Linked DNA regions of Bombyx mori. The protein of the gene in region 1 purifies or fractionates together with the protein of each later gene. This does not show direct contact. Links are inferred from orthologs where the notes say so. Each region holds a gene or a part of one and is shown in the gene's direction. Other genes may lie near its edges.

Region 1 (4,560 bases):
AATTATGTTTACCTTAAATTACCAATAAGATAAAAATGTAAATTATTGAGTTATCACAGAGTTGTCAGGAAGCAGTATGTGAAATCTATTCTGTAGCAAATAAAGCCGGATATTTTCTGAAAATTATGTTTTGTATCCCAAAAATTTTCTATTAATTATTATTATTTATTTTGTTTATTAATTATTTTGGAGGCCTGCATAGAATTGAATGGTTTTAAAAAAGGGAATACTTGTCTTAGAATTCTAATGTAATCACGGGCATGTTGTTTTTATTCATTGCTTAGATGGGTGGACGAGCTCACAGCCCACCTGTTGTTAAGTGGTTACTGGAGCCCATAGACATCTACAGCGTAAATGCGCCACCCACCTCGAGATATAAGTTCTAATGCCTCAAGTATAATTAAAACAGGTTCCCCACCCTTCAAACTGAAATGCATTACTACTTCACGTCTAAAATAGGCAGGGTGGTGGTACCTACCCGTGCGGATTCACAAGAGGTCTTACCACCAGTATGTTTCAATAAATAATAATAATTTTCACCTGTCACAATTTTTTTTAGTTTGTACTCCTTTAAGAGTGATTCATATGTATTTTTAACACAAGCATGAATTCGGCCTACTGACCATGTCAAAATTACTGGCTGGTCAGTCGACTGCAATTTTGATAGTGAATCCAGTTGATTTTTTAGTATTTTTATACCTGAAATGAAACATTTAAATATGACATAGTTCAGTTTTGCATTAGAATTAGATTGATTAGAAAGTTAATGTATATTCCATTCCATTAAATTGTTTAAACTGTAACATTATTAAAAGTAGTCTCACATACTCCAATATTGTAGTTGATTGTTAGACTAACATACATCATTTTACTTACCCTCGATAATATTTTGAAAGCTATCTATAATTTCAACTAAGCCCTCAGTCAATGGCTTCAATAGGTGCGGATAATAATCATCATTATACTCGTGCAGTTTCACTGATGAGATCCCTTTACAAAACTTAGAACCTTTATCTTTTAGTTTGACCCAATCAATTAACAAACTATGAAACGAAGACACATGTGAAAATACAGTCTTTGATAAGCCTGGTTGGTCTTTATTTGGAGTTGTAATCTCTGAAATAATATCATTTATTAAATTACTTACTATTTCAATCGACATGGACAACAGAAATTTTGTTTGTTAAACTTTTTCTTCTTAATCGATGATGGGCAGACAAACTCACAGCCCACTTGATAATAAGTGATATTGATACCCAGCAACGTAACCATAATAGTTTATAAATCAAACTCTATGTAAATAATTACCTCTAGGTACAAAGTTGATAGCCAATTCTTTTATTGGAGTTTTGGACATTACGAACTTATTACTTAAATTTGAAATAAATATCTTTAGCCGAGTCTCTAAGTAGATAATAAAATTGAAGTGTTTTTGTTCTTCTTAATTTTTCAATATTGCAATTGGCTTACAGCCAGCGGTTACAAGACCTTCTAGTCCAGCTATAATATAATTTCTACGTAAAGAGCACGTAGAAATTCTAATCTGATAAATCAGAATTCATATGAAGCTAAATGAGATGAACTTAACTAATGTTAGTCTTTAAATTTGAGTGACATTATATGAAACTAGGATGTTTTATGATGCGTAAGCCGGATCGCACAAGAGGTGGGAAAAAGAAGATAGTCTGTGACACGGGACCTTTTTACCGCCGGGAGTCCGGGACTTTTTGGCGGGAACGCGAGGAGTGAAGTTGTGTGATTTGTTTTATTTTGTCGATTTAGTATTTCTTCAGGTTTAAATGTGTAATAACGGTGATTTATTAACTGTTTAATATCTGTGAAAGTTCACAAATGTGGGAAAATGCAACAAAGCCGCTGAACATAACTTCCCCGGAATCCTCCAAAAAGTCCACTGAAAAAAGGACATGGACCATACATTGCACGCCCCACTAAACGAACATCATCATCAGCTTATCTATTATTTATATTTATCGATTAAATATGTTAATATATTTTGCTAGTTTTTTGTAATACATTGTTTTCTTTAAGAAGATTTAATATGAATTATTTAAAATATAAATATATTTTACCCATGGCAGCTCCTTCAATATTATCAATGTAGCTTAATCATGCTTAAGTATTTCTTTTTATTTATGCTTTTGATTATCCCACCATTAAAATACCCTTAAATTTTATAATAAGTATGTAAAAATGAAATGTTTTTTTCTATAGATATTTTATTAATGTCCTTGAGGGCACGAGTAGCTGGGCCGAAAATGGCCCATGTCCTTTCATTAAATGACCACCATTTTACTGAGATTATATTTCATCCCATATCATCTCATCTCACTATATTTAATTTCATCTTACTTGATTATTGTCTCAAATTAATCATCTTCATTGCATTTCACTTCTTTCCATTATATAATTTTTCATAAAATTAAGAATATGAATTAAAATAAGACATGACCTAAAGGTCTTAGTTGAGCTGGACATAAAATACCCAAAAAAATTTTTTTTACCGCTGAATATTTAAAGGACGAAAAAAAAAAATGGTATAACTTAGAACTGTATAAGCCGCTGCAACAATAAAACTCCTATTGTTTCAAGTGTGGTGTTAATTACATAAAACACGATTTTCCCGCGAAATAAAGAAGGGACTTTATACGGACTCCCTCAATGGGATGAAATAAAATCGTCTCAGTAAAACAAGGATTATTAACTGAGAGTTCAGTGGACGTGACTAATGGATGCTCTGGATGAAATTTAATGAAACTAAATGGAATGAAACGTGTTAAGATGAAATAAATTAAAGATGTTCCAGTAAAATAGTGGGAATTTATTGACACTTAAGTATACTATCGAAGTAGTAGGTAGGTAGACTATCGAAGAACGTAAGATGTGCCGGGGCCACGGTAGTCAAAGTTGATCAGGTGATAATTGTGTAAGTGTGAAGGCTGGAATAGTTTCGACACAGGTAATTATTTTCATTTGAGAAGTAAGAATGGAAAATTTATCTAGTGGGTATTATTTTTCAATCATGCAACGTGGTGTTAAAATTTACATAAGCCAACTACTGTTCGCGATTTTGGAGCAATCTTTTTTCCGTGATAGTTCCCATTACAGAATCCTTTGCTAAATCGACTAATCTCCCTTTGCCTGTCCAAACTAGGGATGGTCTGTAACAGGTGAAATTAGAGACCTGTTCCACCTGTTCCTGTTCCAGCGAAAGAACAGTTCCAGTAGCCTGTTCCAATATAACAGCGTTTTGTTTTGCAACAGGTTTAATAATGTTTTAAATAGAATATGTCCACTTATAGGAACAGTTATAACATATGAAATGGTTTTAATACATTTTTTTAAATGAAAACAATCCTTCATGCTTTCTCAGGCTTAGGACTGACAACTGAATTTATTAATATTAATGATATGTGAAGCTAGTTTTGCCAAAATGTACTTAATACTTTAAATACTAACTAATATTGGCGAGGACTGCTCTCCCTCCGCGCCTCCGGTTTTTTATATACACTCTAGGGGTAGGGCAGACAAGACCAGGTGGAAAGTGATGTGCTCTGATTCGGTTTTCGATATTTTACGAATATTTTTGCAGTTTTATATCCAAAACACGAGCAATTTTACTGTTTTATATTTAAATCTTGTTTAAAAAGTTAATTTATTACAGAGACAGATTTTTTAGATGAGTGGACGAGCTCACAGCCCACCTGGTGTTAAGTGGTTACTGGAGCCCATAGACATCTACAACGTAAATGCGCCACCCATCTTGAGATATAAGTTCTAAGGTCTCAATTATAGTTACAACGGCTGCCCCACCCTTCAAACCGAAACGCATTACTGCTTCACGGCAGAAATAGGCAGGGTGGTGGTACCTACCCGTGCGGACTCACAAGAGGTCCTACCACCAGTAATTACGCAAATTATAATTTTGCGGGTTTCATTTTTATTACACGATGTTATTCCTTCACCGTGGAAATCAATCGTGAACATTTGTTGAGTACGTATTTCATTAGAAAAATTGGTACCCGCCTGCGGGATTCGAACACCGATGCATCGCTCAACACGAATGCACCGGACGTCTTATCCGTTAGGCCACGACGACTACGGGATTTTCCCGGGGATGAAATCCCGTCTTAACATTAGTACGGGTACCGCCTAAGGCGAGACTTTCGGCGCGCATCGCGGTACCGTAAGTTTCGTGTAGTCGGTGTGGTGGAGCTCGATGGGGTTTAGTCGGTAGTCGTTCTGCGGGGTAAGTGCTTCGCGCGCCTTTTTCAAGGCGTAGTCTCCTATGAGAAATTGGGGCAGGTGAAGGACCTCGGCCCTTCTCTTCTCCCCTTCTTCCTCTCAGGAGGCCAGGCCAGGAGGCGCCGGAGTCCGACATAACCCGGTCCGTTACCCCCCTCGACCGGGTAGCGTATTTCCATTTCCGTGTTCATTAGGAGGCAGTACTGCCTTGAAACACGCACGGGTTTGTCGCGCTAGCTTCCTTTACAAAATCGTGTTCAATTCAAGGCACGTGTCCTCAAATCGCGCACGGGTTTG
Region 2 (4,615 bases), on another chromosome or scaffold:
AATAAAAAAAAATAGCTATGCTACCTGGGCTCTCAGTAGTCTGTGGTTGAAGTTTTTGGCGGGAACACGAAGAACGAAGTTGTATTTATATTATTTTTTTTATAATTATATTTTCTAGTTAGTGAATTCTCCATCGCCATTGTGCCACAAGTAAACCTACTTTAAGGACTCTGATTCATGAGTCTCGTCCAGATTCAATATAATATATCTCTACCGGACCCATCGCTCTCATAAAAAAAAATGTGTGTATCATTGAGTGCGCGAATGTAATTAATTACTTATTTAATTATTAATACTAAGTAATTACTAATTACAAGTCCTATTATGAATCATATTATATATATATTTTTTTTTATTGCTTAGATGGGTGGACGAGCTCACAGCCCACCTGATATTAAGTGGTTACTGGAGCCCATAGACATCTACAACGTAAATGCGCCACCCACCTTGAGATATAAGTTGTAAGGTCTCAGTATAGTTACAACGGCTGCCCCACCCTTCAAACCGAAACGCATTACTGCTTCACGGCAGAAATAGGCAGGGCGGTGGTACCTACCCGCGCGGACTCCCAAGAGGTCCTACCACCAGTGATTACGCAAATTATAATTTTGCGGGTTTGATTTTTATTACACGATGTTATTCCTTCACCGTGGAAGTCAATCATGAACATTTGTTGAGTACGTATTTCATTAAAAAAAATATGGAGGGTAGAGGTAAGTAGAACCGTCTCTATGTGAAAAAGTATTCGTTAAAATCTGTTAGATAAGGGTGGCACTACATTAGCACCGAGGTAAATTTAAAAAAAGGCGCTAAAAGTTATTAGAATAAGATAGAGAAATAAGAAAGGGTGAAAGAACTGTAAGCAACACAAAATCACAAAAAGTATTTTATTTAAAGCTGCTAAGAAAATGCAATCGAAGTAACAGTAATCGACAGTAAAATTGTTAAGTTATATTATTGAAATTAGTTTGGACTACGTAAACATGTGAGGTCTTGTATATTACACTGTCACTAATTACTCTAGTCATTAAATATATTAAATTTTCAAACTCGGCATACTTCAATGAGTTAACAACTGCTCAATTCATATCATACCCTGTGCCTATGCTAGCGCCATTCTCGAGGATTTTTGAACTGTTATTTAGTGGTGAAAGTGGGACACTTTTTTGAAAGTTCTCCCATATGGATATGAGACGGTTCTCCTTACCTCTACCCTCCAGCTCAATGAATTTGGCACCCATTTTTTTTCCGATTTTTTTTATATTTAATTATTTGTTAAAGATAAAAATAAAGATATCTAGTAAGAGGGGCCCACTTAAGGGTGATCATTTGTTTAATTAATTATAAATTAATAAAAGACGAACAAACAATTTTTACAAACGACGAACAAATAATTAAAAATAAAAACAATCCGAAAATAAAAAAAAGGAGGCCAAATTCAGTGAGCCCTACCCTCCGTAGTATCATAGGTTTTAATCACTGAAGTAGGAAACCTAGGTCTATGGTTTTAATGCTTTTTTCTTGCTAGCCTGTGCTTGTCTTGTCACTGTCAACAGCACAGAATCATAGACTGACACAGGATTTAAGGTTGTCGACAACATAGATTAACATACATTTAATAAAAAAAACATTAAGCTAAAGAACACGAGAGTACTACAGATATTTGTTTATTGAATTAAAATTCAAGAAAAATTTCTGAGATTTGACTACTAGGACGATACACTGTTATTATAGTTTGTGAAGATAACTCAAAAGCAAAACGCCAGAGACACATTTTTGTATTCTTTTGGATTGTGTATAAGTTGAATCGTATTATTTAACTAGGCTTGTAGCTCTGCTGAAAATGTCGAAAAGTGATCCAGGTCCACTGCCCAGTAGGTGGTTGAATTGCCCGAGAAAGTGTACATCTTTAATAGCCCAATCGTTTTTAGCCTTTAAAACACCATTGGGCACAAAATTCAATGAAAAAGTGCCCGAAAAGTGTCGTTTTACGCCTAAAATGATTTTCGACTTCTCTAAAAGTATTAAGGTAAAAAGAGATTACTCAAGTTAATATAACAATTAAGACTAGTTAATTTTATATTTGCATAAAAATAACAATAATATCATAAATTAAATTTGAGACTCAAAAATATACGAATATATACGAGTCATTGTATCTCATAAAATTCATTTACAATTTTGTACACGCAACTTTTGAGCATGCGGTAACATTTTTCATATCGTCTAGAAAAAAAAATTGTTTTCTTTTAGAAAAAAATAGGTTTATGGATTGATCTCACAAATACAAGCAGATTTTACGATAAAGGGGAGATAGAGGAAATGGACTGTAAATATATGAAAATACAATGCAAAGGTCACGGAGAGGCACCGAGTGAAGACCAAATAAGGTTTGATGCAGTGTTATAATATTTATAATATACAATAATTATAAATTATACATTTCAGTCAATGTGAATAATAAATACAATAAGTATTCATTATGAAAAATTATAGACATTTGGTTAACAGATTGGATGTGAATTACAAAGTGAAAAATATATTTACAAGTTTGTTTGTTGTGTTTCATATAATCATTGACATATAATGGTGTTATGATGTGATGTTTAAAGAATCAAAATAACTAAATGCAAAAAAATAGATTTAAAAAAAATATCCCTGTTACTGGTTTAATGCCATGCTTCATGTAATTGGTACTTGTGTTAGAAAAGAGGAATACAGTGTGTTGATTAATAAAAATTAGTCTTATTTTGTTAGTGTTTGAAACCAGACAATGAAGTTAAAACGCCTTATTGGATTCAGGGTCTTCATACACACTGTCAAGAACTTTATGAAGAAAAAACCTCTTGAGCTCATAGCTGTTCACTGCACACATGGATTTAACAGAACCGGTTTCTTGATTGTGTCTTTCATGGTTCAAGAAATGGACTGTAGTATTGAAGCTGCCTTAAAAGAGTTTAATACAAAAAGGTAAATATATTTTATGGTCTTGCTTTCAATGAAATGTATGTGTTTTGAAAATAAAATTAATGTGTGTAAATTTTCATTAACCATTCTCAAATTACATCACAAAATTAATAGGAATAAGCTTGCATTTCCTTTGGCTCTAAATTGAGAAAATAAGAACTATGTTTTTTTTGATTGAGTAGCCTGTGAATGAGCATATGACCCACTAGGTGTTAAGTGGTTAGAAAAGCCCACAAACACCACTGCTGTTACTGCTAAGTACCTGCCCCTGGATTATTCAGTTTGCTGTGCTGTATTTATGTTTAAATCTCTTTGTTTTCAAGTAAAAATATAAAAAAAATATCATGGCCATTGAGAAGCCCGTGTGCATGTCTGCTTAAAATGATAGTAAAAAGAAATACAGCTTAAAGTTCACACAACTTGTATCAATGTAATCGTATTTAATTTTCAAGTCAGTGTCAAAGTAGTGGTATTCAGGTTATTGTTTGCTTGGGCTAAAAAAATTTGGCTTTGTTTGATTTGCAGACCTCCAGGAATATACAAGCAAGATTACCTCACTGAATTGTTCAAACTATATGGAGATGTTGAAGATACTCCAATGGCTCCTGCAAGACCTGACTGGTGCAATGGTAAGCACAAAAACAACGTAGGTGAAATAGGCCAGACAATCTCAATTAGATCAATTTCATTGTTCATGTGGTCAACACATTGTTGACTACTGCTGTATATAAAAAAATTACTAATGCTTACATTTTATTACTTCCACATCCAATTAAGAAATAATAGCCGGTGACATGATGTAAATTTTTAGGTAATATTGCTGGTCAATGATGTGTAAAGTGCTTTCAGAAAACCATAGACTGTCTCTTATGTATTGTATAATCATTGTCCCATCTATCACTAAACGCAACTGCTTCACTGTGATTGCCAATTAACAATTAGCATTGTGTCAGCCAATATGAATATATCTTATAAATTGATCCATTGTGCAATTAACCATGGAATTAATAATCTCAAATTACAGAAATAGAAGAAGAAGAATCTGATGATGACAACCCGAGTGCTACACAGGATACATCAGAGTAAGTTCTTGTTATTCCTTAGGTAAATTTTTATATTTATTAATATCTAGTCAAACCTGACCATATTCCGCTGTGATTGGTATACAAGAATAATAACTGTTTGTTAAAATTGTTCACGTCGGTCATTGGTCGTACTTGAACTTTCAGGTAGTAACTCTTGGTACGAACACATTCCATTGCCTCATAAAACTGGGTAGGGTACTTACTGCTGAAGCCAGTTACTAATAGGTCTTCTTAATTGCTATAGATGACTAATAGAGCTCACGAGCTACTTCCGTGTTATGAAGTTAGCGGTATGGTCTCACTCTTTAAACGGGACTGTATGACCACATTATCTTTGTACCTAAGCAAGCAAGCTCAATTACCAAAGCTTATGAGCACACTTTCTTAACTATGAATCGAGTTCGTTTGTGAATGAGAGCAACCCTTGAATCACCTGAGGCCTCACAGACAACACGTAGAAAACCTGTTCATACGATCACTTATTGTACAATAAAACAATTAATATATTTTCTTCCAGATGTAGCGACAGGAAACAGAAGAAAGGTAAACACAATAACATTATA

The links.
Region 2: the proteins of DNA-directed RNA polymerase II subunit Rpb4 (region 1) and mRNA-capping enzyme purify together in Homo sapiens (affinity purification with mass spectrometry; 3 studies listed by BioGRID and IntAct, with this or other methods). This does not show direct contact. The link is inferred for Bombyx mori from reciprocal best matches to the Homo sapiens genes POLR2D and RNGTT.

The regions. Positions count from the first base shown.
Region 1 is NC_085114.1:9,607,050-9,611,609, forward strand, and holds the start of DNA-directed RNA polymerase II subunit Rpb4, read left to right. Parts: upstream 1-1,693; 5' UTR 1,694-1,803; exon of another isoform or gene 1,804-1,812; intron 1,813-2,610; 5' UTR 2,611-2,977; intron 2,978-4,560. Other genes in the region: uncharacterized protein LOC119628842, read right to left, coding at 541-699, 877-1,116, 1,309-1,357. UniProt on the Homo sapiens protein: Core component of RNA polymerase II (Pol II), a DNA-dependent RNA polymerase which synthesizes mRNA precursors and many functional non-coding RNAs using the four ribonucleoside triphosphates as substrates.
Region 2 is NC_085110.1:3,886,036-3,890,650, reverse strand, and holds the start of mRNA-capping enzyme, read left to right. Parts: upstream 1-1,536; 5' UTR 1,537-1,843; coding exon 1,844-2,029; intron 2,030-2,253; coding exon 2,254-2,390; intron 2,391-2,802; coding exon 2,803-2,970; intron 2,971-3,492; coding exon 3,493-3,596; intron 3,597-3,991; coding exon 3,992-4,049; intron 4,050-4,569; coding exon 4,570-4,615.